Alligator mississippiensis: one gene and its partners. The protein of the gene in region 1 purifies or fractionates together with the protein of each later gene. This does not show direct contact. Links are inferred from orthologs where the notes say so. Each region holds a gene or a part of one and is shown on either strand. Other genes may lie near its edges. The genes, in order: RBBP7, PHF12, ARID4B and CUL4A.

Region 1 (7,224 bases):
TCACTCCCTCGTCCAAGTCACTGATGAAGACATTGAAGAGTATCGGTCCAAGGACCGAACCCTGCGGGACCCCACTGCCCACACCCTTCCAGGTTGAGACCGACCCATCCACTACAACTCTCTGGGTACGACCCTCTAGCCAATTCACCACCCACCGGACTGTGCAGTCATCCAAGTCACAGCCTCTTAACTTTTTCACCAGTATGGGGTGGGATACCGTATCGAAGGCCTTCCTGAAGTCTAAGTAAACGACGTCTACCCCTACTCCTGCGCCCAGGTGTTTTGTAACCTGGTCATAAAAAGAGACTAGATTAGTCAGGCATGATCTACCTGCTATGAACCCATGCTGGTTTCCCCTCAGCATAATTTGTCCTGCCGGGCTCTCACAAATGTGAGCCTTGATCATTTTTTCAAAGACTTTGCCAAGGATGGAGGTGAGACTGACTGGCCTATAGTTGCCTGGGTCCTCCTTCTTCCCCTTCTTGAAAATGGGGACATTATTGGCCCTTTTCCAGTCCTCCAGGACCTGGCCCGTGCACCATGAGTGTTCAAATATTTCCGTCAGTGGCTGTGCAATGACGTCAGCCAGTGCCTTCAGTACCCTCGGATGGAGCTCATCTGGGCCTGCAGACTTAAACTCATCCAGTTCCTCCAAGCGCCTCTGCACCATCTCAGGGTCTACGCTTGGTAGTCTGGCACCCTGCTGCTGCCTCTCTACAATCCCAGTGAGAGACTTGTCTTGCCCCTCACTTAGGAACACTGAGGCAAAGAACTCATTGAGTAGTTCAGCCTTGTCCCCCCTGTCCGTCACCAATTGCTTCTGCCCATCTAGTAGGGGTCCTATTCCACCCTCTTGTGGAGGCTGAATAGATTCAGACCCTTTAGCCTCTCTTCGTAGGGCCTGACCTGCTACCCCTTGACCATGTGAGTGGTCCTCCTCTAGACCCTCACAATGCTAGCCATATCCCTCTTGAAGTGTGGCGCCCAGAACTGGATGCAGTACTCCAACTGTGGCCTGGCTAACGCTGCACAGAGGGGAAGGATCACCTTCCTGGACCTGCTTGTGATGCATCTGTAGATGCACAACAAGGTGCAGTTAGCCTTACTGACTGCTTCCTTGCATTGGCAGCTGATGTCCATCCTGGAGTCAACAATGACTCCAAGATCCCTTTCTGCCTCTGTGTTGACAAGAAGGGTGTTCCCCAGCCTATAGGTGTGTTGCTGGTTCCTTCTCCCTAGATGTAGTACCCTGCGTTTATTTCTATCCTGTTCTGATCCACCCACCTCTGTAAACTGTCTAGATCTAGCTGGATTCTGTCCCTCCCATCCAGTGTGAAAACTCTACCACCCCAGGGGAAGGGGAGGCTATCCCCAGTCTTGGGCTCACAACCTTCTGGCTTATGCTTCAGCACACAAGCCCCTAAGCCAAAGAGCCAGGTTGGAAAGCAAGCCTTTCATATTATGGGCTCTGACAATAATATAGTCAAGAAAGTGCCAGTGATTGGAGCATGGGTGTTTCCAAGTAATCTTATATTTGTCACTCTGTCTGAAGATAGTATTTTTCATGAGCAAGTCATGCTCTGCACATTCACTGAGGAGGAGGATACCATTGGAATTGACTTTCTTCCCTCTTTCCCAATGGTACCATTCTAAAATTCAGTGTCACCCAACTCTTGTGTGAAGTTACCCATGAGGATGAACTTGTCTTCCTTGGCAGTGGCAGTCAGGACTGTGTCAAGAGTGCAGTAGAACTGTTCTTTGTTGACGTCTTCATCGTCAGTTGTGGGGGTGTATGCACTGATGCACCAAGTTCACCCAGGGCACCATTTTCCCTAAGGCTGGCTCTGCTGAGATGTAAAAATGAAAAGTGAAATGTAGGTATTGGATAAACTGATGTTTGTTGTTATCACCTTTGTGATTTTTTGGTTTCATATTTGATAAATCTGCCTTAGATTTTCACATTTGCACTAATGTCATAATTCTATGCAGGCATCAGGAGCAGTTTAGCTCTTTTTTTTCATCTATTCATCGCTCTAAATGACTTGAATACTGATGTTGTAGGATCTTTACTTAGTGTACTATTCCATTGGAATGCAGGTTAGTGTCATTGATAACTGGGAATAAGTTTATATATGAAAGGATAATGTGGGCTGATCCTTTACTGTTCTGTGGTGAAGGGAAAGTTTGCTTTAACAGTGGAAGTGGCATCAGAAGGTATTTGCTTTCTTTTTACTTTTTAAAAAGGGAAATCTGTGCTCTACAGTGACTAGAATATGTGGGCTTTGTAGTGATTCTAAAACTGTAGACATGGGGTATGAAATTTACCTTGTGCCCTAGGTCAGATCTGGATTGGAGGGCTTCTGTACAGGCTAGCTCCAGCTTGAGGTACAGGGCAGTGGCAGTGGGACCAGTGCAGACAGTAGCAGGGATGGCAGTGGCTGTGGTAGGACAGGCAAGTGGTAGTGGGACCAGCACCTTCAGAGTAAGCAATCAAGAACTGTGCCAACAGAGCCTTGCTGACCTCCTATCCCTGATGACCACGTCTACTAGGGTGCACAGGGACTCTGGATTCTGCAGCAGGCCATGCCCCTCCACTTCTGGTAGCCCAATGGGCCAGATGAAGTTGCTCCGTAGCCCAGATGCAGCCTGAGAGCTATGTGCTCATCACGTCTTTTGTAGACCAGTCATTTTCTGTTAGTGTTTCCTCCATCCAGTGACTAAAACTGGGGCCTATGCTTTGCTCCTATTGTAGAAGAGCTGGCTATGCAATCAGAAACAGTTAGCAGTAGTTTTGTCTGTGGACTACATCTAATCTATATTGATATCTATAGCTATGGCTATATAACCAGTAGTGGCTCCTTTGTGCCAGAGAACTTGATTTTTTTTCCTTGTCACAAACCAATGATGAATCCCAGATCCAGACACACTGGAACAGGACTGGCCAATTGGCAGCCTGGAGAGGTCAAATTGTGGCCGGCAGGGCTTGTTGGCGTAACTCCACAACCCGGGCAGGGTCACCACAGCTCCTGCCCCCCGGCCTGCTGTCAGATTGAGGTTGTTGGCCACTAAAAACTGGCAAAAGAGGAAAGGCAGCAGGGTTGGTGTGACCCCTGAGTGGCCAAGGTGGGTCATCTGGGCCCAGGGAAGCTCTGCTGCCTGCCTCTGGCCTGCAGGGCCAGAGGAGTTGGGGCACACTCTACTTCTGCGCCGCTGGGGTGTGAGCTGAGCTTGTTCTGGGGGTGGCAAGGCACAGTCTGGCCAACCAGGGGGCTGGGGCAGGTATCCCGGCACTGGGAAGGACTGGGGAGGACGGGCAAGTCCCAGCCCTCTTTTGGTGAGGAGCAAAGTGCCAAGCGTCTGCTGGGCCTGGCAGCAAAGGGGGAAAGCTTGGCAGGAAGGTTTCAAACACCAGAGGGACAAAAAGAGCATCCTGAAGCGCCCCCTCAGAGACAGGCAGCAGCCCCCAGCAATGCTGCCCTGTGGGGGCAGGAGTCCAGGTGACTTAGGGACAAGTAGGCGGGAGCCACGGTGTGATGTGCATTGTCAGGTCTTAAATATTAAATTATCATATTTGCTCAAAAACTATCATACACTGAAAATTATGCAGACACATGCAAACAAGTATGCAGATAAGCCTTTTTTATTTATTTTTTATTGCTCACTGCAACTGGCCAGGGAGTGAGTGAGGTGTGGGTCATGCAAGTTGAAACATGCTTTTATTTCAAGGCAAGTAGTCATGGGGGAGTACCAGCAACACGCCCAGAGGGTTCCCGGTGAGTCGTGACTCGGGTTTTGCATGTTAGTTGCCTCCATTATTGCCTCAAAAAGTACTGTACATTTTGAACACTTTTCCTATTATTGATTGTACATCGTAGAAGGGTTGAAATGACGGTGTAAATTCTCAGACACCCAGCAACAATGGCTGTGCCCAGCACCCCCCGCTAACGGGCGCTGATCTGCCACGTTCACCGTTTACGGCTCCCCCCGCCCTCCACGACAGTGCACTCTACTGCGCATGCGCTTAACGCCCTGTCAGGCGGGAGAAGAGTGGAAGGAGGGCGCGTGCGCAGGCGACGCTCGGTCGCCGGCGGGCAAGTGGGGGTGGGGTTCTTGTGTTCCGCGGAGGCCGGCCGCAGGAAGCGGACGCAAGCGCAGGCGGCGTCCTGGCGTCGAGGCGGGGCGGTGGGTGCTGCGCATGCGCGCGGGTGGGAAGGCGGGAGCCGAGTTTGGAGCGGGGCGTCTTGAGCGCGCCTGCGCAGCGGCTGGCGCGGGGCGCGAGATCGGCCCCGCCTCCACCCCTCGCGCGATGGCGACCCGGGAGGGTAAGTGGGGAGGTGGGGTGGGGGAAGGGGGAGGGCAGGACAGGGGGTCTCGAGCTTGAGGGAGCCATTGGCCGGGACCTGATGCGGCGGTTGGGCCGGCAGTGGCGGAGGAGCCGGCGGAGGAGCGGGTGATCGGTGAGGAGTACCGCGTGTGGAAGAAGAACACGCCCTTCCTCTACGACCTGGTCATGACCCACGCGTTGGAGTGGCCCAGCCTCACCGTGCAGTGGCTGCCTGACGTCACCAGGTGAGGCGGGGCCCCTTCCCCTGCCCCCGGGCACGCGAGGCGGGGCCTCAGTTAACGGTCCTGCCCCTGAGCGTTCTAGGGCCGTTAACGGCCCCGCCTCGGAACGTTCCAATGGGGGCCCCTCGGCCCTGCCCTGTTCCACGTGGGGCTGTTTCTACCTGTGCAGGAGGCAAGAGGCACCCCATGGCAGCTGTGCTGTGACACGGATGCTGAAGCCTGCTGGCCTCTTGTCCTGCTGAGGGGGCTTAGACCCCTTGCAGGTGTCCATCAAGAAGTTGGGGTGCTCCTGAGAGCTCCCAGGAGCCATAGCTGCCCCATGACTGCCACACATGGGCAGCCTCCCTTACTCTGAGGAGGGGAGAGGAAGGAAAGGGATGGCAGCCCAGCTGATGAGGCAGGGGTGGATCTTGGAGCAGCTGATGGGGCAAGGGAAGGGTGTGGGGCTCATGTTGCCATGCATCTGCCAAAGCAGTTGCCCTCCCCTGCTGTGATAGAGGATATTCATCTCTGTGCTGTTTTCTCTAACGGTTGTACATTTTGATGTTCCAAGTAGCATCTTGAAATAAATACCTACTGGGTGTCAGAACAAAGTCAAAGGCCGGGGGGGGGGGGGGGGGGGGTGTGTGTGTGTGTGTGTGTGTGTGTGTGTAGCTCGTGTTTTACAGTACAGCTGGGGTGCAGTCATTGGAGAATTGGCGCGGGTTTGTTTTTCCTCTAAAATCATAGTTTGTGTAAATGATGGCTTTACATCTATTGTTATTTTAGCATGTGAAAGTATTTGGGCTTGCAAGGACTTGAGAACAGGAGGCTGGGAAGGAGAGAGAAAGGTTAACTAAGACCCTTGTGTGAAGTGCTTCTGCTTACCTCGCATATTAATGGCTTGACTTTTTTAAAATAGCTAGTTTTAATTGTATAGCTAGTGTCACAATATGTAAATCACTTAAAACCAACATGGTCCCTTTTGAGTTTCATCTGCCATGATGGGAGGCTTATTCATACAGGGGTGAGGAGAGCATTGGATGCAGTATAGCAATGGGATTGTGAACTGTTAGGGTTTTTTTTCCTCCAGAAGCTTTGTTTGGTCTGTACTGGGCCTTTGCTTTCTTGAACACAGAAATTGCTTTGAGTCTTAAGGCGCTACCTTCTTTCACAGTTTATTAACTGTCATTTGCTACTGAAGAAACAATAGTCTAGAAGTCTCCTGATTCCATTTTTAAGTTACAGCATAAAATTGTGGGCATGTTTTTTTGGTTGTTGGTAGATAATGCACGTTCTGCTGTAATTTCTAACTTATTCCCCACAACAGTTTCCTAGTAATAGACCATATTTAAACATTCAATATTGTTTTCTAAGCTACTCATGTTTTTGGTTTTTGTTTGGAAAATCTTTACATGAGAACAAAAATCTCATGTCCTGCCCTTCTCAGGTACTAATGTCAAAATGCCTTTATTTAATCTTTTTGTGCAAATAAAAAGTCATAATTCTGCTGTTCACATAGTAATGAAAATCATTATAAAATTATTTTGGGATTGTCACTCCAATTTTGGCAAAGATTTATCTGTCATGTCTACAGTGCTGTGAACCTCTGCAGTTCAGCTTAAGCTCTTATACTAGTATTCCTAATATGGCAGAAAAAAAGTGCTCTTTGAATTAATCTCTGGTCTCCTAGACCAATTGGGTGTCACGGGCAAACTTTGTAGCAAAAAAAATAAGTTAAAAAAAAACAAACCTGAACTCTTTGACTATTTTGTATGACTATTGTTTTATCGAGCAGGCCAGAAGGAAAAGACCATGCCCTTCACTGGTTAGTGTTGGGAACACACACCTCTGATGAACAGAACCATTTGGTGGTTGCAAGAGTCCAGATTCCTAATGATGATCAGTTTGATGTCTCTCAATATGATAGTGAGAAGGGAGGTAGGTTTTGCAGGCATTTTCAGTGTGTATTCTTCTAGCCACAGTGGTAAATAATGCATATCTTATTGAATTACATTCTTACTTGAAATATTTTTTTTTAATTAAATGTCTGGTTTTAACATACGTGTATACTGCAACTTGTTTACTAGCATACACTATACAGAGTAGTTGAGTGCTGAAAAATCTTACTGTAAATGGCTTTCGTGTCTAGTATTAAGTTAAACAATTCATGTCTAGCATGAATCTAAACAAAGGGTACGTTTTGCAGAAATGTCTTGCAAGACCTAAGTATAAATTATATTGATAACAAGGTGTAGTAGCTTGAGAATTATTTAAATAAGGTTTTTTCACTGGGTCTATCATCTGGTAGGCTTACCTGGTACACAGCTAGCTTGGGCAAGAGATTTCCCCTTTTTCAGGGGAAAATTACTGCCTTTAATATTCCTTTCTCTTATTACATTCAGCTGAAAAGTTTCATTACTTTCAAGAGGTAGATGTTTTAAAGAGTCTGTTGTGCTTGGTGTGCTAATATGAGCCTCATGCAAGATTAAACATCATGAAAACCTAGAGAACATGGGTTTAGTATATCAAAATAATTTATGATGTGATTAATGAACTTTTGTTATGAAAAACATCTAGAATTTGGCGGCTTTGGATCAGTAACAGGCAAAATTGAAACTGAAATAAAGATTAACCATGAAGGTGAAGTAAATCGTGCTCGCTACATGCCCCAGAACC
Region 2 (7,486 bases), on another chromosome or scaffold:
GGGTTTCGGGGGGGCTGAGCCGACGGCTGTCCCGGGAGCTGGGGGAAGGCCCCCCAGGCAGGGTCCCCCGGGCCCTGCTGAGCTTCAGCCAACCACTGCCCTCACTGGTCACGCTGGGCCTCCGTGCCCGTGTCTCTCCCCAGCAGTCGCCAAGGCCATGCCTGCGGGGGCTGCGCTGGAGAGCACCAACGTCGCTGTCGCTGTTCTCCTGCCCGTGGTCGCAGTGGCATTGCTCCTGGGTGGCATTTGCCTCTACTTCTCCAGGTGAGCATCCGGCTGCCAGCTCAGCCGAGCACTGTCTGGGCCCACTGCGCCCTGCACCTGGATCTGCCAGGGCTTGGTCCTGCCCCATGGGCACAACCCAGCCCCAGCCTGCCCCGGGCCCATCAGTCCCACGCTGCCCCCCCCCCCCCCGGGGCCATGCCTCTCCGCAGGCTCCAGGGGAAGCCGTCTCTGCAGCTGCCGCTCTCGGGGTCACACCCCTACGACCACATCACCGTGGAGTCGGCCTTTGACAACCCCACCTACGAGACCGGAGTAAGTGCTGAGTCCCGCCCGGGGCTGGGGCCATGGGGGCAGGGAGCCCTGGGCTGGGGGGCGGTGGGGGCCAGGGGGCAGCGGGGGGCACGCCGATGCCTGGGGAGGTGGGCAGAGGCAGCAGCAGTCTCGCTGCAGCTGCAGGGGCTGGGGAGGACCCCGTACCCGCGGCGCCCCACAGCCGCGGCACGTGTCCAACCCCCTGCAGTCTGTCTTTTTCCCAGGAGATGAGGGAATATGAGGTCTCCATCTAGGCCGAGGCCGCGCTGAGCCGGAGCTGGAGCTGGAGCAGCAGCAGCAGGAGGAGGAGGCACCTGCCGCAACACTGGAGCAGCTGTGGCCCGCGCGCTGCCCTGGGAGGGGATGTCATGCTGCCCCAGGGGACCGTCGTGCGCCGGGAGCAGGCCAGCATTGTCCGGCCGAGCCAGCCCCTTGGGTCCTGCCTCTCCCCCCGCAGGGGCTGGCCCCAGGGCAGCTGCTCCTGGCTGGTGCCGGAGCCGTGGGCTTCGTGGCAGCCAGAACCAGCCCTGCCCGTTCCCAGCCAGGCCTGCGTGAGTCTGCTCCCTCTGGCCACATGGGCAGGTGGTGCCCGGGCCCGGGGGAGCTGAGCGCGCTGCCTGAGAGCTGGCTCTTCACAGCACTGCCCTGGCTGGCTGCCGGGCACGGGCAGCACAGCCCGAGGGCACTTGCATAGCCTGGCCCAGGGCTGGGCAGGGCCAGGCTGGTGCTCTGCAGAGCCGTGCTGCCCGTGTCCTGGCTGTCAGAGCCACGGGGACCAGGCATGCGTGGCATGTCCAGCCCCGGCCTGGGGAGCAGGGTGAAGGGGCAGAGGCTGAACACAGCGGTCTGCCAGCTGCAGGCCTGTGCCGGCTCTGAACCAGGCTCCCTCCAGCCGGCAGAGTCCCGCCCTGGGCAGGGTCTCCCCTCTCATCCCCTGCTCCCAATGTGCTGGTTGCGTAGGGGGCAGGATGGATGGGGGAGAAGGGCAGAGCCCAGGGGCCAGGCCAGGCCTCCTGCATCTGCTCTGTAATGGAGGGGCACTGCTTGCTGGGTGCTGGCACTGCCCCGTCCTGCCCGCCGTGTGTTTCCCTCGCTGCCCATGCCCCCTGCCTGCCACCATCACCACCTCCCTGCCCATGCCCCCCCCCCATGAGCATGCTGCATTCGCTGACCTGGTGCCCGGCCACACACGTCCCTTGCCCGGCACAGCCGCCTCCTCCCCGGGCACCATCCTGACCCCACAGGCAGCCTCCTCCAGGCCCCTCAGAGACCCCCATCCCTGTAGGCAGCAGCGAGTAGACCCGGGCCTTTCTGCCCCCTGCTTGTCCCCCCGGGGCCTGAACAAGGTGCAGGGGGGGGGGGCAGACACCGGACGCCATGCTCCCTGCGGCCAGCCTGGCATCCCAGCCCCTAGCTCAGCTCTGCACGTGCGACCTCTGCCCGGAGACCAGCCTGGCACCACATGCACCCCAGGGTCCAGCAGGCCCCGGCTGCATCTCTCAGCTGCGGGCACAGGAGGGGTGGCACACGGAGCCGGCCTGGGGCGTTGGGGTGCTGGAGATGACTCGCCAGCCCCTGCCCTGTGACCAGCTCCGGGCCGTTCTCTGTGAGAAACCCAGCTGGACCGGGCAGCCGGGCAAGGCCAAGGACGATCCCTACAGGACCATTGCTTCCTGCTTCCACTGCCAGCGCCTGTTCCCGCTCAGCCCCAGGGAGACAGGCTCCAGGGCCCTTCCCCAGCACCGTAGGGCAAGGGGCTCCCCAGGGCTAGCCACTGACCCCGTCCCGGCCTCCCTGGCCTGCCAAGCCCTGGTCCAGGCAGGAAGCTTTTTACATGTCACGTGTACAATACGCCCCTCCGCCGCGCCGCCCGTTTTGGAGACAGCCCCATCGTTTCTTTCAGTTGGTTCATTAATAAACCGGTGTTTTAGAAGAAGCTGCTCAGTCGTGGTGCAGGCGTCCTGGGGGGTGGCCGGGCCTGCAGTCACACGGGGGAATGGGGGGGCACTGTCCTGACAAGGGTTAGGGGTGCTGAGGAAGCCCGGGGCTCAGCCAGGCCACCAGGACAGTTCAGGGGGCTGCGCCCCGGGTCACGGCTGGATGGAGATGGCCGAGGGGCAGGCTACTGGGAGACAGGCGGACAAGACCATGGCTTTGGGATCTGCACCAGCGGTAAGTGTCCCGGATGTCAGTCCGGCCGCAGCCTGGGACGAAGGAGGGATGCCCCAGAGCCCTGCGCTGGCTGGACAACAAGAGCCTTGCACCTGCGTCTCCGCTGCCCGGCAGCACTGGCCGTGAGGGCAGCCCACACATCGTGGTGGGAGATGGGAAGGTACCGCACCCCTCAGGATCAGAGCCAGGCGTCTGCTGCCCCGAAACTCCATGCCAGGGCGCCCCAAGTGCAGGGCCGTGGGAAGGCAGGACCCTGAAGCAGCACGTCACCTGCCCCAGTGGCCCTGGACCCCAGCCCAGCAGCCCCAGGCCACGAGCCACGACACTCAGGCTCCCTTTGGCCCATGCGCCCCTGCCTTAGGGGACCGCGTGGAGCCGCAGCATCGCTCATGCCCAGCACGAGCTGTCGGGGTGTTGCACGGGGCAGCACGGAGCAGGGCTGCATGGAGGCATCGGGGCGGCTGCTAGAGGGCTCCCGCCGGCCCCTGGAAAATTGATTTGAGCTAACCCGAGCTGACAGCACGATGCAGCCAGAGCCCCCGGCAGCGAAATCCCATCTGCAGAAGACAGCGCTCGCTGCGTGGCTCCATTGCAAGGACTGAGGGCAGGAACAAAGCCAGCGGAGAGGGATCTCGTGCATGCACGCACGCACGCCAGGCCCAGCTCGCCGTGACGCTCATGGGGGAGCTCAGCCCGACTTCACGGTGAAGGCAGCCAACGTCAAGGCCGCAGCCCAGCTGGCTGCCGCGGGACCAGCCGCGTGGCGTCACAGCTGGGGGCAGGACAGGCAGGGCTCGGTCCTGTCCCGACCCCTGCAAGCCCTGGGGTCGCGGCAGCTCCTCCTTGGGGTGCGGAGGCTCCTTGTGGGGGGCACAGACATCCAGAGGAGCGGGGCCACATCCAGCAGCTGCTCTGGGAGGGGTGAGATGGGTCCCAGCCCAGGTCCTGCAGGAGTCTCCATGCACAAAGCTGCCCCAGGAGAGGCCAGGCCTGGCTGCCCCAGGGGACCCACAGGGAGAGCCGGGCCCTCTTCAGGCTGCAGCAGGCGCGGGCCAAGCCCAGGGCACCAGCCCCCGCCACCGCTCCCCCCCTTGGCCTGGCGTGACTCCTGCCCTGCAGGGCTGCCCGGTGACAGGAGCTTCAGGGGAAAACACTGGTGCTCGTGACTTTGGGGATTTGGGGCCTGATCCAGCAGCAGAGGGCTGGGGAGGGGCTGAGCCGAGAGGGGCCCCTGAGGAGGGGGCAGCCCCAGCCAGGCAAGCAGGAAGGGGTGCCAGCTGCTACAGGCACGAATCCTGCCCCCACTTCACCATGCACAGTCCCCCTCTGCACCCAGCCTGCCCCCCAGCTTTGTGCACCCCCATGCACCCCCACGTGGCAGCAGCAGGTCTCCCCCTGCCGGCCGCGCCGCGCACCACCACCACCCCTCCTCCAGCCCAGCCCAGCCCAGCCCAGCCCAGCCGCGCCTGCGCAGCACTCATCCCTCCGCGCGCCTGCGCAACAAGACCCTTCCCCTCCCTCCCCTTTCTTCCCTCCCCCTCCGCGCCGTGCGCCTGCGCCGCCCGCCCCGCGCGTCCGGTCAGGGCCGGCCGAGCCTCGGCGCGCCTGCGCCCCCCCCCGCCCCGCGCCTGCGCAGTGCCGCCGCGCCGCCAGCTGGCGCCTGCGCCCGGACCCGCCGCCACTGCGCCTGCGCGCTGGGGGGAGTTGGGGGGGGGGCGCGGCGGCGCTGCGCCTGCGCGGGGGCGGCGGCGGGGCCTGAGGCGCGGCGGTGCGTGTGAGGCGCGGCAGCCCCCCCCTCCCCCGCCATGGCCGGCCCGGCCCCCCCCGCCGCCCGCCGCCGCCCCCGGCCCGTGGGCTAGGCCGGCCCGGCCCCATGTGGGAGAAGATGGAGGCCAAGACCGTGGTGTACGACCTGGACACGTCGGGCGGGCTCATGGAGGTGAGGGGCCGCGGCGGCAAGATGGCGGCGGCGGCGGGTGGCGGGGGGCGGCGGGCCTGATCCCGAGCCTGATCCCGGCCGCCTGTCTTTCTCTCCCCGCGCAGCAAATCCAGGCCCTGCTGGCGCCGCCGCGCAGCGAGGACGGCGACAAGCGGAGCCGCCGGCCCGAGCGGGAGCCGCGCCGCAGCGGCCGCGCCACCAACCACGACAGCTGCGACAGCTGCAAGGAGGGCGGCGACCTGCTGTGCTGCGACCACTGCCCCGCCGCCTTCCACCTGCAGTGCTGGTAAGGCCCAGCCCGGGCCCCCGCTGCCCGCTCACCCCAACATGGCGTGTTTTCGTGCTCAGCGCCATTTTGCCTGCCCCGGGACAGGGGGGTGCCCACCCCCCCTCGCGGACATGTTCCTCGCGGGGCCGGCGTCGCGGCGGCAGCACCCGGCCTTTTTGTCCCGTCCGTGCGGGGCGCGCTGGGCTTCGGCGACGCGCGCAGCGTCAGCAAGGAGATGTTCGGGGCAGGGGTGCCGTCTGGACTCCACGATCCCTTCCGGTTCTGCGATTTGTGGCTGTCAGGATGTCGCACGTCGGACTGGGAAGCTTTTGTGCCGGCTTAGCCTCGCGTGTGTGCGTGCGCTGGGGGTAGAACCGCCGTTGCCTCGTCAGCGAGGAGGAGGAGGAGGGACGGGGGAGGGGGGGGAGCGTGCTTTTATGTTCAGTTTCCCAAAATAGCCTCACGCATACCTTTTTTCAGCGGTTGTTTGCGGGCTTTTGAAGTCCGGTTCTTCGAGGAGTTTGTTGGCGGGAGTGGGGGGAAGCGTCGCGGCTCCGCTTCTCAATGAAAACCGAGCGTGGATGAATCGACCGACTGTGCCCTGCCTTGTCGTAACAGTCGACGTGTCTCTTTGAGTCGGGGAGAGATGCGCAAGCTGTGGTGTTTAACGCGGTGAAGGTTTCTTGGTTTTAATCGGCGAGTGAGAAACGATGCTCGCTTTATGCGCCTTGGAGGCATCTGGGGAGTGGTTTTTGGGGGCGGTTTTTTCCCCCAACAACTGGATGAATCGTCTTGACTAGTCAGTTCGGTCATGAAAACAGGGCTTGATCCTGTCAACTTCTACTTGCTAAAATAGTAGAGGAGGCAGCGGCTCGCGCGTGCAGGGGATTGCTGGGGTTGGGTGTACGGACAGATCAGCAGCAGTGCAAATCGCGGTGTGAGAGAGAAGCATCCTGTTTTCTACAGCTACAACATGAACATCCTCTGAGGTGCCAGGTCCACTGAGCAGGCCTCTTCCTTAGCTGGAGTAAAACCCCAGGCTGTGCTGTGCCCTGCCGTTGTTCCCAGACTTGTGTGCCCCCCTCCCCAGATGTATTCGGATGAGACGAGTTGCTTGTAGGATGACAGTATTCTTTTCTTGGTCATCTTTGGTTTTTGTTTTCATCTCCTACATCTTGTTTAAAGTAAACTTCCTCTTTGGGTAGAAACTCCAGGCACAGATGCAGCACTTGCAGTTTCCCTGTTTGTTTTTATTTATTACCTGCAACTAACAATGAACATACCTTTAAACACATACCACTGCAATGGAGTGGAGCAATTCAGAATTGATCGACTAAGAACTCTAGATGTTAGCCTGGCATTATCAACCTGTTTTCTCATCCCTACAGAGGAGAAATTTAACACGAGATTGGAGCTCATGGCTACTGCGCAGAAGATGTCTGAAGCCATTGGCAGCTTTTGGTCTGTATAATTTGTGAGGTGGGGATAAGGAAAATGAGTCAGAGGAAGGAAGTGACTTGCCCAAGGTCACTCAGGGACCTGGCAGCAGAACTGGGAGACAAACCTAGCTTTTTCCTAGGCCCACGCCGCCTCCAAGAATAAGTAAGCAGTGCTTGTGTAAGTCCTTAGTGAGCTGAGTTCCTTGACTACATAAATACATGTGTGTTCAAATTCACGGTGGTCTTTTCCTTTTTGAAAAAGGGAAACAAATGAACAATAATTCCCCCCACCTCAGTATATTGATACTCTTATTTCCATACCCCATTTCAGTCTGGTGAGGGAGGCCTTACTCTCCTTTGTTCATACTTGCCCAATAATGTGTTAGACTCACCTACTTCAGTTAGCAAATCTTCAGGCAGATATTGTGGTTCCAGTTAGGATTGTTGGATGTTGACAGGGTCACTCCAGGGAAGGCGGCTGCTTCTGAAAATTCTTTTATCTTGTTCTGAAACCTATGGACTGTGTCACATCATAGTTATATATATATATATATATTTTTTTTAAGTGTTGAATTGTTCTGGGCCTAGCTAGTTTATTTCCTTCTCAGAAAAATGGTGTTATGATAGGATTGTCACTCTCACAGTGGCTCTGTGTGGCAGGAACAGAATTTGATTAATTTATTATAAATTTGGCCAATCTTAAAATGCTATTCCACAACGATTAGCCTGTGACAAACAAACAAAACATGTATTCTTCTTTTTAAGCACACCCTTAGAATTCGTTGATGTATTCGTTGATGTATTGATTCTGCGATGAACTGGGATATGGTGTAATGTTCTTTAGAGAAGTCATGTTGCATTTTCAGTAGTCTAGCTATGATACCACTTCTGATGTCTATGTCCACTGTTCCTCAAGATGAAATTTCCCGTTGCAAACTCTTTTCAACTTTTGCTGGCTTGTTTATTTTTATTCAAAGAGACTGTATTGCTTCAGCTTTTAAAAGTCTAGTTTTGGTTACAAAGTTTGCATATTGATAGGGTTTTGCCTGCTAATGGGATCATATGAGTGCAAATTATTGACCAGCTCTAGAAACAATGCGGTCAGTCTCTGCTCGGTTCCGTTGCAAGATG
Region 3 (7,202 bases), about 170 Mb from region 1:
GCCTTCAGCAGTAAGGAGCTTCCCCACCCAGCCCTGCTCTACCCTGCTGCACTGCGTCCCACCTGCTGGGCTGGAGGCCCCCAGGCACAGGGCAGCAGGATGGGCAGCTCGCACCCACTCCTTCACATACACAGATCTGGGGGCCTGTGTCCCGCATGTCCTTCCCGGGTGTGCATGTAGTGGTGGGGAGTCAGTCAGCCCTACAGTCAGACGAGCCACCCAGGGTTCTGTCCTGCTCCCTGCCCGGGCCCTGTAGCTGTGCATTCGGGCCCCAGGCCTCAAGCCCCACACACTGCCCAGCTGGGCAGTAGCTCCAGCCCCGGTCCTGCCCAACTCCCTCCCTATGGGGGCCTCAATTCCTGCCCCACCTCCACAGACTTTACCTTCCTGAGCTGCTTTCCAGGCTGCCTGGTGACCATGCGCGTGTGTGAGTGTGCACATGGCGCCCCGTGCCTGCCCTACTCCTGTTCCTTCCAGCCCCTTACAGGCCACAACTTTGCTAGCCTGCAGCAAGCACTTTTCAAAAAAAGTGGAAAATCTGCATTTTTTTCCATTTTTACATGGCAGATGGAAAACCCAATCCCTAGTGATTAGTCACCATTGTGTTTGTCCGCATTTTCTTGTTTTATACTGTTCTGCACAGTGCCAAACCCACCAGAACTCCTTACCTGTATAAACAAAGCTATGTACAATGGTATTTATTTGTGCTGTTTTCCCCCCAGAGATTGGCTTTATTCTACATGAACTATTACCATATTTCAGAGGAATACTTCCTATGAATATGCTATCACCTGGCCTGAAGCCGACACACAAGCCTTGGCTGACCCTCTGGAAATATTCGGTGAGCTAGGTACAGTTGAATTTGACCACAAAAAATATTCTTGTGCATGACTAAGCAACTCTAGTTGAAGAGAGCAATAGAGAGATCAAAAGTTCCAGCAGAAGATACAGGTCAAGCTCTGAACAGACTATTTCTGTTCAAGAGCTAGACCAGGTCTTCAGTGCTTGCACTTCCTTTCACCAGAGATGTAGTAGATAGCAATAGTCTCTTTTGAATGCAGTATTGAGGGAGAGGAAGAACATTTGCATTAAGTGGACAGATCAGAAAAACAAGGTACCAGCCCAAGAAATGCTATGCACAGTAAGGTTATGACACAGAAAATGCCGTGGCTTTCAATTAAAGAAAATCTACTCAGAACTCAATGCAACTCGAGACTGGATAGACATGTAAAATTATGTGAATTGATATGCATTTAAGTCTATGATAACAAATTTGTTAAATAGAACAGAACAGCAACAAAAAAGACTTGCCTGGTAGTTGAAGTAAGTACTTGTAAGGCTCTAAAAGAAGTCTTTTAGATGTTTGTTCCGCCTGCTCCATTTCGGTGTTAAAAAAGAAAAACAGTGCTTCACCCTGTTAAAAGGTTAAGAGTTATTGTTACAAATTCAGATTAGAGAAATTAAAGAGAGAGACAAAAAAAAAAAAAAAAAAATCAAAGTGAGAGTCAAATCATTAGCACCTGTTTAGAAAGAAGGAGAAAAAATAAGCAGGCTTCAGATACTCAGACCACATGTAAATGTTCCTTTAAAGGCAGCATTTTCAATTATCACCAGCTTTGCAATACAAAAGACTAATGGCTTTGGCATTATTAATAAAGACATAAGGAAGTCTCAAACTTTTAAAAACTGAAACCTACTTTTGAAAAGTCAAAGTTATTTTAAATTAAGGCTTATTTTTTGAGTCTACTTTAGCTTCTGTGACTTTGAAGTACCAACATTATAAATATCTCAGATAACATTAAAAGACAGCAACATGTGTGTCAAGCACCTATTTTTCATCTGGGAATTTTTTCCTGAAGTTTTTCTACTGGACAAAAGATCAGTGTCCCTTCCCACCCCCTCCTTTTTAAGAGACATTTTTTAAATAAAAAGGGAAATTATAGGGGCTTCTTGAGCTTTTTGCTTCAGTTTTTATTCTTTTCCATTTCTCTCTTTGTGCCATGTCCTGTCCTTTTAGGTTTAGCAATTTTGCTTTTTTCCCCCCTTTCTCTTCTATATCATACTCTTGGATGCGTGTGTCAGGTTCTCTTGCTGTCATTTCAGACTCAGCTTCCCTGGATAGTTCATTCTAGGACTTGTTTCCCTCAGTTCATGCCCTCCTCTCCATTTCCAGGCTGTAAGCATTTCTGTGATTTTCAGACTCCTTTCTAGAATTCATTTTCCCTCTTCTTACCTCTAACCTTTGTTGCTGCACTGCAGATAGAGCAGGTCAAAACTCACCACTTGCTTCTGTCATGGCAAGACTGGACCTGCAGTGGTGGCACGAAGTTCCGTGCCACTCCAACAGCAGTTCTTACCTGCTGGCAAGCACCTTGCAAGAAGCCATTTCCTCTGCCCTAGTAAATGCTGTCTAGTTGCTACCTTACCAGTAAAGCAGGATTATTTCTAGAGTACATTAAGAAACATCAGTACCATATATGTTTTGAGAACAGGCACATCCAGGAGACCAGTTAAAAGAAGTCTACATTGTAGAGTAGATTTAAATTCATCTTTAAGTGATTTGATAATTGAAAACTGTTTATTGCAACTGTTATTAAACTACTGTAAGTTAATATTAAAACAAGCATTAAACAACTGGAAGTTAGTTAATATCAAAAGTAGTGTTAACTCCTTAAAACCCTCCCCGCAAAAAACACAACACAAAACATATGACAGCAAGTGGGAATGGGGGAGAGAGAGAAAGAGAGAGCGTGACACCAGGGCTTGGCAAGGTTTTCCAGGCACAAAGGAGGTCTCATGCTTAGGCTAAGCTGTGGAAGAGCACGGGAGAAGTGCCTGCCTGTCCAGTTACATATAACACAGGCAATGTCAGGAGTGCCAAAGCCCCCACTCTGCAGAATGGATCCAGTAGTTGGCGACTTGCAGGCCATGGACTGCCGAACCTGGGTGCATACGGTCTTGCGCTGCCAAAATGGAATTTCGTGGGACTTTGAGAAATAAGGTACCGATCAAAGACAAGGAAGGCTACCGCAATCTCCCCCCAAAATAAGGATACAAATAGATTTAAAAAAAATAAAGTCAGAACAAAGATAACATTGGAAAAGGGACCACCGTGCTGGGACACCCTTTCGCAGCCGTTAGGCCACCTGAACCCCACAAAGAGGGCAAGCTAACGCAAGTGAAACCGGGAGGTTTCACCTGGTGGTTCAGAGCCCGAGAAGCCCCCTGACAACATCCCCCTCTAGAAGTAGGTGCCTCTTCCTTCTCGGGGCCAAGTTGGCAAGCGCTCCCCACAGCAAGCGACACCACAAGGCTGCCAGTCCTTACTCAAGGAGGGGGGATGGGGGGGTGGGTTGAAGGGCGCTCCAGCTTGCTAGCATTTGGCAAAGAGGTCTGGCCAGAGCTCCGGCCAGAGCTCCATAAACATTTCCCCAGCCTGGCCCCATTGCCACCCCCCTTTCCCCAGCCTGGCCCCTCACTCCCAACCCGCCACCCCCACGATGGGGATCCGCTGATGCTGGAACTCCACTGGGGGTCACGACCCAGTTTGGGAACTGCTGCTTGACGGCGACGCGGGCCTGACGAGTGAGATAGCAGGGGCGGGAGAGCCGCCATCTATGTCCCAGCCGGCCACCAGGCACCAACCAACACCTACCGCGCGCCCGGCCACTCCGTGCAGAACGAGACTAGCCCCCAAGTACCGCCCCGCACCCGGCGCCGCCGGACTTCAACGCGAGGAGAGGTGCCGAACCCCGGCTCCGCGGGGGGCGGAGGAGTAGGGAAGGGAAACCAGGCTCCACCCCCTTCCGCCTTCACCGCAGCAGCTGCCGCCACCATCGCCCGTTGGGGGAAAATGCGCCACCAGAGCCGCAGCGCGCAGGCGCAGGCGCGGGGCCCGCCCCCACTCCGAGCGGCGGGGCCTCGCGCGGTGCACCCTGGGCGGTGTAGTCCGTCCGCCCCGGCCCCGGCGCTCGGAGCGGCGGGGGAAGAACCGCAGCTCCCGCGAGCCTCCGCGGCACCGAGTCGGTGTTTCCATAGAACTGGGGGAAAACTGACGTCAACCTTTCCGAAGCGGCGACCAATGGCGGCGGAGGGGAGGCGGGCCCTGGCGGAGCGCGGGCCAATTGGCGGGGCGAGAGGGCGGGGCCCGCTCCGCCCGTCAGGCAGGCAGTTGGGGAGAGGGGGGAGGGGCGCTCGAGGCTTGCAGCGGAGCGTCGCGGAGTAGGCAGCGTCGTTGCGTCCGGCCGGGAGCATCGGCCCGTGTGTCGCAGAGAGCCAGCGGGGCCGGAGCCTAGGGGCGGCTGCGCTCCCTGTGCTTCCGCCCGGGCCAGGGGAGCTGCGGGCGGCCGGCGCCGAACAAAGGTAACCGGGGGGCCGGGAGCGGCCGGGGGTGGGGGAGGGGCGGGGGTTGTTTTTCTTCTCATCACCGGACTGCGGCGGGAGTTGTCCCCCCTCCCCTTTCCCGCTGCCCCTTGCGGGGAGCAATGCTGGGGCCGCCCCCCGTGCCCGGCGGGGGAGCGGGGCTCGGCTCGGCGGCGGCGGGTTGTTGTTGTGGCAAGTTTCTCCTCTGACAGAAATGGCGTCAGCGGGCAAGGGGGGCGCCGGGCGCGCGGGTGGGCCCCCTCCCCGCGCAGCAGCTGCCCGGTGCGGTGTGGCGGCGGCTTGAGCGCTTTTGTTTTGCGTTGCAGGTCCGACCTGGGCCGCGCTCGGGGGTTTTACCGCAGCCTGAGCTCATCATGAAGGTAACGCGGGGGCCGGGGGGAGGTGGGGGAGGCGGCATCCGCGTCCCCTGGTGTCCGCCCGGGCCGGGGACAATGCGGGTCCTGGCGGGAGGGGAGCGAGGACATGGCGGCCTGGGTTGCGCTGCGGAGGGAGGCGGTGGCGGCCGCAGCATCGCAGGCCCCGCTGTGGGGGGGGGCGGTGGATGAATGCCCCGCGTCCCGCTGTATGAGCCGCCCCGATTGGGGGCGGGGGGCGCGGGATACTCCGCAGTGGGGCCGGGCTGGGAGGCGCAGCAGCCGGATCATTTTTCAGGCAGCTTTTTTAGTTTCCTTTTCAGACCATTTGCCAGGCACTTTTTCTCCTTCTCCTGGCATTTGTTAGACCCTCGGTCCTCAGGCTGGCCAGGCTTCAAGGGCTGCTTAACCTCTGTCCGGATCTGGTTTTTGGTAATGAATCTGGCTTCTGAGTCCTAGTTTAACAAGTGCGATTTAGCAGGGTTTCCCCTTCTTCCTCCCCTGAGCCTCGGTGATGGCAGGGCCTCCTTTGAAAGGCTGTTATTGGCCTTGCTGTGTGGCTTAGAACATGCAATCAGGATCATGCCCCTATTGTGCTGCAATGGATCTGGCTTCCCAGCTTTCTAAAAAGCTGTCGAACGCACTTGCTGCATAACTGCAGGAAAAAGAGCCGTGGCAGACCGCTTGGCATTCACGCGCAACATATCAGCTTTGTTATTCAGCCCTGAGCGCAGTCGCCTGCTTCTAAAGAGTCATGTCCTTTCTGGGTTCTGGACAGCTCTTGTCTGTGCAGAAGCAAAATGAGTGCGGTGACATTGTGTTTGTGAAGTGCTGGAAATGGTAGACGGCATATACAGCTTCAATAACTAGGTTTAGTTAGTGATGCTAAGCACAGCAGTTAGTCTTGTCTGATTAGTTAAAGGTTCAGCACATTTCTCCTGGTGACTAATGAAAAAAGAACCTTCAAATGTACACTTGGAACTGTGCTTTCCTATGTTGTTTGGGTTTTTTTTGTGTGTGTATATTTTTTTTAACTAAGCTGAACTGATAAGTTCTGAGGTCTTGCACCAAAATGCTTATTGGATAAATTGGTTGCTTTAAGTAAGAAAAGCAATAGTCAGACTTCTGCAGTGTGATATGCAAGTTCCCAAACTGTGGTCTGTGGAGTGTTGGATCAGAACACAATGCTTGTTCGAATTGGGTTACTGAAATGGATTGAGACAAATGGAGAATTAAATTTAGAGCAGGAGGAGACAATATAGTGAGGTCTTTTTCTCAGAAGAAAAATAATTTATTTTAAAGATAGCTATATATACACACCTACTTTTTTAATGTTACTTTTTCCACATAAATGCTGCAGTTACCTTAGAGATTGGTGCTCAGATAGAGTGGTTATTGGAGTCATGTAAATGTGTAGATCTGCAATTGCTGGAGTTAAGGAAATCTAATTCTGAGTTGGAGGGTAAAGTGTGCTCTATAGTAGAGTGAGAAACCTCTCTTCTACCTCAGCTGAATACAGAGCAGATTATTACAACTTAAATATCTCTCTGTTTTATACATCCATAAAGTCTGTTTATAGATCCATATTTTTTTTTAAAACCTGCATGTTTCCTTACCCTTTAGTAAGATTTATACTACTATTGTTAAAGGAGGTTTCATTTTTTTTTTATCAAGATGGATGCTGCTAATGTTATTGAATACTGAATTTGACTCATTTGAAAATACACTCTGATTTGTTTCTGCTGATTCCTAAACTTCTAGATGTTTGGGATGAACAAAAAAACGGAGCCTAGTTTCTCTGGAAAATTTAAATTCAGACTTAAATTTGTGATTTAATCTGGGAGCTGCTAGTTGCACTGAAATTTTTTACATTTCCAGCATGAAAATGTTAAAAGCTTAAATCTTAAAAAGGATTTAAGATTTTACATCATCCACTGAATGATGCAAAATTATAAACAGCCATACAAGACACAGCTTTTAAGTTTGTAAGATTGCAGTGGGAGGGAAGTAAAAGAAGAGAATTTTCAGGTAAACAATTTTGTCTGTCTGCCCATTTCACTGTAACTGGATGGCTGATAAAAGAGAAGATATGACTTTTACATGACTTTTTTTTGTTTGTAAACAACCAGAAGTGTGTGATTCTGGGCACCTTATTATTTAAAGTATCAAGCACCAAGAGCTTATAATGAGTCCTATAATGTGGTACCTATTGCAGGGCTGGGGGCTTAAGTTGTCATTTTATACCTTAGTAGTTCTTCCTTTGGGTGCAGGGATAGTGTGTTGTACCGATTGGTGGATTAGAGGGAGGATGTGAGGTGTTCCAGGTTTTGTTCTGAGCTGTGCCATTGATTATTTATGTGACTCTTTTGAACATGTCCATTACATTTGCTGTACCTCGTTTTTCTCATCTGTGAAAAGAAGAAGGTTGGATTTTTACACTTCTGTGTAAAGGACTCTGAGAACTAT
Region 4 (7,234 bases), about 30 Mb from region 1:
GGCCACAGGCAGGTGGGGAGTGGCATCCAGGAGCAGAACATGCAGCTGACGCCAAGGCCAGGGCTTGGATTAGGATCACAGCGCAGTGGTAGTATGGGGCCAGGGCTTGGGGCAGAGTCATGGTCCATCCTCACGACATGCAGAGGCATGTAGGGCGTGGAGCACAGCTCCAGCCCTGCAGTGTTACCACCTTCCAATCCCAGCTCCAGCTGCCCATCCCGCTCCCAGATCCTGCCCCCCACCCACCCACGGCACCATCCCACCTGCCTGGCCAAGCACACCCTGCCCTGCACCCATGGATCCCAGACTACTCTCACTGGGCAGCAACTGTGTGGGGCCAGCTCCAGGGCAGAGCCACTGAGGGAGTTCTGGTGAGCTGGGGTATGAGGGGACGTTAAACCAGTCCTCAACAGATCACCAATACTCTCTCAGTGGCTCTGGCCCAAATAACTACCCACCCCTATGGTAAAGTATTGGGGAAGAAGGGGAAGAAGCATGTCACGGAGAAAGCTGAAGAGTTGAAAATGTGAGAAGGGACAGAAAAACACAAAACCAGAAAGAGCCACTGCTTTGGATCATTAAAAAGATATTTTTCAGGGAAGAAGGCAAGGTAAAATGAGACAAGGCAGGTGGGAAAAAAAGGAAGAGAGAAAAACATAGGCTGGGGACATGTATCTTACAATCTACATTTCACTGTATTCTTCTAGAAACCATTGTATATTTTTTAGGTTATTATGTAGCGAGGAAAAGAATGATGAATGCATCTTATTGCTAATGGGATACAGGGCAATGTTCTTCTGGCCACATATCTGGCTAACTGCAGTTTTAAAATTTACACAGTGACCCACAAAAGGAAAGGTTTTACAGACTATTAATAAAGATACTTTAAATATTCCTAAGGAACTGTAGTGAGGAGCTCACACAAATGAAGTCTATCTGATAGTTAAATGTTTTATAAATGAAATTGTTGTACTTTTCTTCTGAACAGTCTTGGTTTCTCACTTTTAAATTCTGTAGGGCTTTACATAACAGTAGACAACTTTTTCCCCCCAGATTACATCCTAGCTACATTCTCCTTTCTCAGGTATGAGAGGTTTTTTTTGTAGGTTTGTGCCTTTTTAATTTTTTGTGCTTATTTATTATCCTTGCCGTTCCTCTCTGTGGACATTACTTCATCTAACATGGATTTCCTATTTGCATCAAGAAATCATATCCAAATGAGAAAAATCTCATATCCATTAAGAGCCTCTCCAAAGTCGATGAAAATGTACTCCCCCACACAAAGAATATTGCAGGATTTGGGACTGCGATTTGGCAAGGTAACGAATTTCCTTACCTGAAGTCTAGGGTTTGCAACATGAGGATGCTTAAATGATACTAGTTCTGCACAAAAAAGTCCATCTCTGGTATCAATGGCCTCTTGTACCTAAATAAGACAGGTAAAAGTAAAAAAAATAGAAAAAAAAGAAAACAACTGCAAGGAATGACACAAAATTATGGGCTACGGTAAACACACTGGTGGGAAGGGATCAAATCCAGACGGACCTGAACAGGTTGGAAAATTGGGCAGAAAAGAATAGGATGCAGTTCAACAAAGACAAGTGCAAAGTGCTGCATCTAGGGAGAAGGAATCATCAACACACCTATAGGGTAGGGGAGGACATTCGCAGCAGCACAGCAGCAGAAAGGGATCTCGGAGTCATTGTTGACTCCAAGATGAACATGAGCCTTCGGTGTGACGAAGTAAACAGTAAAGCTAACCACGCTCTTATCATGCATTAGCAGGTGCATCATGAACATGTCCAGGGAGGTGATATTTCCCCTCTACACGACACTGGTCAGACCACAGCTGGAGTACTGTGTCCAGTTTTGGGCACCGCACTTCAAGAGGGATGTGGATAACCCTGAGAGGGTCCAGAGGAGGGCCACTCTTATGGTTAGGGGCCTGTAGGTAAGGCCCGATGAGGAGACTGAGGGACCTGAATCTCTTCAGCCGCTGCAAGAGAAGGCTGAGAGGTGATCATGTGGCCGTTTACAAATTCACCAGCTGGGCGGGGGGCAGCAAGAAACAGGAGATGCTCTGTTTACCAGGGCACCCACCCCCTGGAATAACTCGGAACAACGGCCACAAACTGACAGAAAGCAGAATTAGGTTGGACATTAGGAAGAATTTCTTCACAGTAAGTGTTGCCAGAATCTGGAATGGGCTTCCAAGGGAGGTGGTGCTCTCCTCTACCTTGAGGGTCTTTAAGAGGAGACTGGACAAGCACCTGGCTAGAGTCATATGACCCCAGCACTCTTTCCTGCCCAGGGCAGGGGGTCGGACTCTATGATCTATTGAAGTCCCTACTAACCCTAACAACTATGAATAAGTTCTAGACTTAGCCACCTTTTCCCACATATCAAATAAAGCCACTTTCCTGCAGATGCATATACATTCTTGTCAATGACTTTTCAAAAATTAGTTTTTCATGCATTACTTCCAAATAACTTAAGTCCAGAAAATACATATTGAAATTCTGTGAATGATGTGGATGACCAACACTGTCACCACCTTTTTTCTCCTTGCTTACAAAGATCAAAGTAAACCAGAGATCTTACAAAACAATGTTATATCATCATTGTCTTTGGATGATAGGTGTACAAAGTTTCTAAAATGTCTTTAACAATTTCACTTACACTTCCAAGAATAAAGATACACTATTAATTTTCATTATATTATTTATTTTCCTGAAATGGAGGATATTTTAAGTGCAGGGAATCATGTCTCTTAAATGTATCTGAATGTTATTAATGTTTAACAATACAAATTAAATATAGAAGCTTCAGAATACAAAAGCATGTTGGGGGGGGGGGGTCTGATCCAGCCCTGTGCTGTTCATGTGGCCCACGGACTACTCCTGTGTACATCTGTGGCCCATGAGACCAGGCAAATTTGACACCCCTGCATTAATACATCCACCACCCCTCAGGAAGACTTCAAAGGGGCTCCATATGTACATGTGTGTACTGGGTGTATGCATGTGCATGTGTTTGCATGCACGTGTGCACATATTGGGTGTGTGTGGGTGCATGTATGTGCAGGTGTGTATACTGCATGTGTATGTGCGCATGCATGCGTGTATAGTGGGTATCTGAGTTGCTGGTTGTAGCCACGTTGATCTAAGGACATAGACGAGCAAGGTTCTTCGAGTAGATGTGATATCTTTTATTAGACCAACTGAGTAGCTGGAAAAAAGTTCTTTGCAAGCTTTCAGGCACAGTCAGTCTTAGTCGGACATAGGGAGCCTCTGCTGGTCTAAGACTCTAAGGAATGTAGTGGGCATATGCGTGCATATATACTGGGTATGGTGTGCATGTATGTGTGTGTGTAGTGGGTATATGCATGTGCATACTGGGGATGCGTGTGTGCATGTATGTATTGGGTGTGCAGATGTGTGTGTAGTGGGTGTATGCATGTGCACATGCGTGTACACTGGGTATGTGCATACGTGTGTGTTGGGTGGGTGTATACGGGGTGCCCGAGCAGACATGCGGGACAGGGAGGACGAATGCCCGCCGGCCGCCCACCTACCTGCTGCAGGTACTGGTTGATGGTGATGTGCGCCATGCGCCGGGCTGGAGAGGCCGCCCCGTGAGACGCCGGCTCCTCCCAGCTCCGCCGCGCACCCCCAGCTCCCAGGACACAACGAAAGCCCACCCCCTTCACGTGACTTCCACCCTCATCCCTCTTCCTTCCCCTGGTGCGCCCCGTACTCCGTCACGTGTGGGTGGGGCAAGGAGGGGGCGGGGCCAAACAATGCTGGCGCTTACTCCAGCCGAGCGGCCCACCTCCCCGCGCTGACAGGCCAGTCGCGGGAGCCACGTGATCTACGCCAGGCCCACCTGGCTACAGGAGTTAGCTCCGCCCCCCGCCCCTGCTTCTCTTTCGTTGAAAGGGCAGCGCTGGCTCCCCGCCCCCCCCCTTCCTTTACATCCGCGGGAGGCGGGGCTTGTTGCTCCACGCGCTGGGGCCGGGGGCGGGGCTTCCTTAGGGCCATGGGGGCGGGGCCCGGGAACACGGGGGTCTCCAGCTGTGCTACAGGTCCCCGAGCCCAGCCCCCCGCCCGTAGAAGTACAACGCTCACAAACATCTGCACCACATCTGGGGACACGTCCGTTGCCCCCCAGCGCGAGCTAGCCGTTGTGGGAGGCAGGGCTCGGCCGCCATCTTGCGGGCGGGGCGGTAGCGGGGGGCGGGCCGGGGCCGGCGGAGATGGCCGACGAGCCGCGCAAGAAGCCGCACTTGACGGCGCTGGTGGGCCACACCAATGGCCTCACTAAGGCTGTGGCGCTGGCAGGGGGTCGCGTCGGCCCGGGGGGGGGCGCTGTCGCCGCCGCCGCCTCCAAGAAGCTGGTGATCAAGAACTTCCGAGGTGGGTGCGGGGCGGCCCCCTGCCCTCGCCCCCGCGGGGACCCCGGGGAGCCGTGAGCCCAGCCCCGGCCGGGGTCTCCCCTCTGATAGGGGTCTCCCCCCCTCTCCCCTTCCCCCCGCGCCTCGGGGCTGCCGCCTTCCCGGGGCCCCGCCGAGGAGGCCCCTGCCCTCTGCACTGTTTGTCAGCGCGCTGCCAAGCTTCAGTGTGCGACCATCGCATCGGGAGCAAAACACTGTGGTGCTTGCTGGAAAAATCAGCGTGCAAATAAGTTATTTTTTTCCAGACTTTATAGTGCGGGCTGTAGCTCTCTTGTGGGGGAGCGAGGCAGGGCATCCAAGCTGAAGCATTTCTGTATTTCAAGGCAAGTGGACATAAGCAGGGATCCTGGTTTTCTCTGATTGAAAAAAATATATATCCCCAATTTAGGTTTAAGAAAAGGAACCCAGAATCCACATTTTCTATGATTCAAATGAAACACCACTATATCTATCCATCTGTCTCTCTCTCTATCTATCTATAGCAGGGGTGGGCAATTATATCGGACAGAGGGCCGCTTACTGAGTTCTGGCAAGCCATCGAGGGCTGCATGGCAGGCAGCCAGGGGCAGATAACTATTGGTTTTCTAAATGTTTAGGGGCCCCACGGGCTAAATAAAATGACCTGGAGGGTCGCATTTGGCCCGGAGGCCGCATTTGGCCCACCCCTGATCTATAGATATATCTCTATCTGTAGACATATCTCTATCCATCTACGGAGATAGATAGAGATATATCTATAGATATAGATAGATAAATGATTTCACATTTTTCCATGATTAAAATGAACCACCACTAATAAATATATATTTATAGATAGATAGATATGTTATTGATGTTGTATATATATATATTAGTAGTGGTTCATTTTAATCATGGAAAAGTGTGTATTTGGGGTTCCTTTTATTAAACTGAAAATTAGGGATTTTATCCAAGAAAACCAGGATCCCCGGTCATAAGAAGGTGCTGACAACCAACCCAAAAGTCAGTTAAGACGCTGCGTTTTGTGGGCTAAGATCAAGCGTAGTCACTGCACTGGTCTGTTACCCAGACCAAGATGGATTTAAATGGCATTGTGTAGTGGAGGATGCACCCCTGTCCAATGCACTGCAGGCAGAATGTCCTACAAGTTTTAATTAGCTTCCCAGGGCCCAGCTTCCAGTGGGAGGATCTTGCCTACATGCTGACTTTATGGAAATGGGGGATTCCTCCCTACCTTGCTCCTGTGGCTGTTGGCTAAAGGCAGGTGAGACTTGGGGGCATCTGAACTCCAAGCCCTCTGGGTTTGGACCTGCATCTAGGATGCCTGCCAGTGGATTTGGGAGTATCTGAAGCCCGTTGTAGCCCCACAGATGGTGTTTGAACAGTTGAGTTTCTCTCAATGGAGAGGATTCAGAACTGACTTGGCTGATTTGTCCTGAAATATGAAAAATTTTCCAGAATTAAAAAAAAAAGCCAGTTAAGACTCCCTGAGAGACTTGGGTTTTGCATATTCTGCATCAATTAGCTGCCTCAAAAAATTATACATTTTGAACACTCTTACCATTGTTGACTGTACATTGTACAAGCATTGAAATTATAGCACAAATATGATAATTATTGTACACCTGACAACACTGCAGCTTGTTCTGCAGCAGAAGTGGTGTGTGTGTGTGTGGAGCTTTGGGGGGGTCCCTTGTTTCAAGGCTCTACAGAAAGGTGTAAACTCAAAGCTCGCTGCTAATGCAGGCAGCATTGGTTGGGCGCTGCTCTAACTCATTATGTTCAGAGTATTTCTCAGTGGAGCTGCATTCAAAGAAAGTGGCAGCAGATGGGGCCCTGTGTGTGTGTCCTGGCCCTACACCCTGGACTTCAAAGGATGGAGGAGGCTCTCACTCTGCCAGCGACTTTGGGCAGACCCTCCCCTTCCACTGGATGGAGTCCTGTGGAAGGAGGTGGAGGGTTCACCCACATGTCCTTCTTCATCAGTCCTTGCTTAAAAAGGTGCTTTGGTTAAGAGCATATTCATGGCTTAGTTTGGGGAAGATGCTGTTAGGTTAGGTAGGGAGATTCTAATAGTGATGTAGTGTTAAATTTTGCTTTCAAGGCAAACCACGTGTCTTGCAGTACAGCACTTTGTGCACAGAAGCTTGTGTAACATCTGTCCCAGCTGTACTGTTGGTCCAGTAAAAGATACCACAAAAAAACAACCCTCGCTTCTTGCATATTTCCCAAACTGGCACAGCTAAAACAACACTCCAGTGCGATGGCTTCTTTTCCCTCGGGAAGTTGACATAGGCTCTCACTCCACAAGCTACTTCACACATACCATCCCTTTCAGATGGATGGAGTCCTGTTGAAGAAGGTGGAGGGTCTGCCCAAATTGAGATGCTTAACCAAATGGAGATATTCTCTCACAAACATGGACAGTGTGTTAAAAAGTCCAAGTTGCGTTGAGGTGCTGTGATGGCCCAGGAAATATGTGAGAGGAAAGTGTTTATGTGGGCAGTATCTTTTATTGGCTCAACTAACTACATCGGGTCAGCAACCCTCGGCACGTGTGCTGAGTACGGCATGTGAGGCCATTTTGCTCGGGGACGCCACCACCGGCCTGGGCTCTAGGCAGCTGCTGCTAGCCACGAAGCCTGGGCTGCTCCCAGCAGGCAGCTGGGCGGCTGCAAGCCCTGCCGTGGTTGGCAGCAGCTACCCAGAGCCTGGGCTGGCTGCAGCCGGGAGCCTGCAAACATCTGCTCCGGGCTCTGGCATTAGCTCCGTACCAGTGGGTGCATGCGTGCCTTGGAGCAG

The links.
Region 2: the proteins of RBBP7 (region 1) and PHF12 purify together in Homo sapiens (affinity purification with mass spectrometry; 5 studies listed by BioGRID and IntAct, counting the BioPlex papers as one, with this or other methods). This does not show direct contact. The link is inferred for Alligator mississippiensis from reciprocal best matches to the Homo sapiens genes RBBP7 and PHF12.
Region 3: the proteins of RBBP7 (region 1) and ARID4B purify together in Homo sapiens (affinity purification with mass spectrometry; 3 studies listed by BioGRID and IntAct, counting the BioPlex papers as one, with this or other methods). This does not show direct contact. The link is inferred for Alligator mississippiensis from reciprocal best matches to the Homo sapiens genes RBBP7 and ARID4B.
Region 4: the proteins of RBBP7 (region 1) and CUL4A purify together in Homo sapiens (affinity purification with western blotting; 4 studies listed by BioGRID). This does not show direct contact. The link is inferred for Alligator mississippiensis from reciprocal best matches to the Homo sapiens genes RBBP7 and CUL4A.

Annotation. Positions count from the first base shown.
Region 1 is NC_081824.1:321,628,906-321,636,129, forward strand, and holds the start of RBBP7 (histone-binding protein RBBP7), read left to right. Parts: upstream 1-4,206; 5' UTR 4,207-4,306; coding exon 4,307-4,322; intron 4,323-4,424; coding exon 4,425-4,569; intron 4,570-6,343; coding exon 6,344-6,486; intron 6,487-7,125; coding exon 7,126-7,224. UniProt on the Homo sapiens protein: Core histone-binding subunit that may target chromatin remodeling factors, histone acetyltransferases and histone deacetylases to their histone substrates in a manner that is regulated by nucleosomal DNA.
Region 2 is NC_081837.1:1,260,803-1,268,288, reverse strand, and holds the start of PHF12 (PHD finger protein 12), read left to right. Parts: upstream 1-4,469; 5' UTR 4,470-4,582; coding exon 4,583-4,648; intron 4,649-4,752; coding exon 4,753-4,934; intron 4,935-7,486. Other genes in the region: SEZ6 (seizure protein 6 homolog), read left to right, coding at 144-264, 435-537, 746-778.
Region 3 is NC_081824.1:153,085,641-153,092,842, reverse strand, and holds the start of ARID4B (AT-rich interactive domain-containing protein 4B), read left to right. Parts: upstream 1-4,187; 5' UTR 4,188-4,362; intron 4,363-4,688; 5' UTR 4,689-4,736; coding exon 4,737-4,742; intron 4,743-7,202. Other genes in the region: GGPS1 (geranylgeranyl pyrophosphate synthase), read right to left, coding at 1,312-1,414, 3,712-3,837. UniProt on the Homo sapiens protein: Acts as a transcriptional repressor. May function in the assembly and/or enzymatic activity of the Sin3A corepressor complex or in mediating interactions between the complex and other regulatory complexes.
Region 4 is NC_081824.1:351,845,693-351,852,926, reverse strand, and holds the start of CUL4A (cullin-4A), read left to right. Parts: upstream 1-4,227; 5' UTR 4,228-4,255; coding exon 4,256-4,415; intron 4,416-7,234. Other genes in the region: PCID2 (PCI domain-containing protein 2), read right to left, coding at 1,337-1,426, 3,575-3,610. UniProt on the Homo sapiens protein: Core component of multiple cullin-RING-based E3 ubiquitin-protein ligase complexes which mediate the ubiquitination of target proteins. As a scaffold protein may contribute to catalysis through positioning of the substrate and the ubiquitin-conjugating enzyme.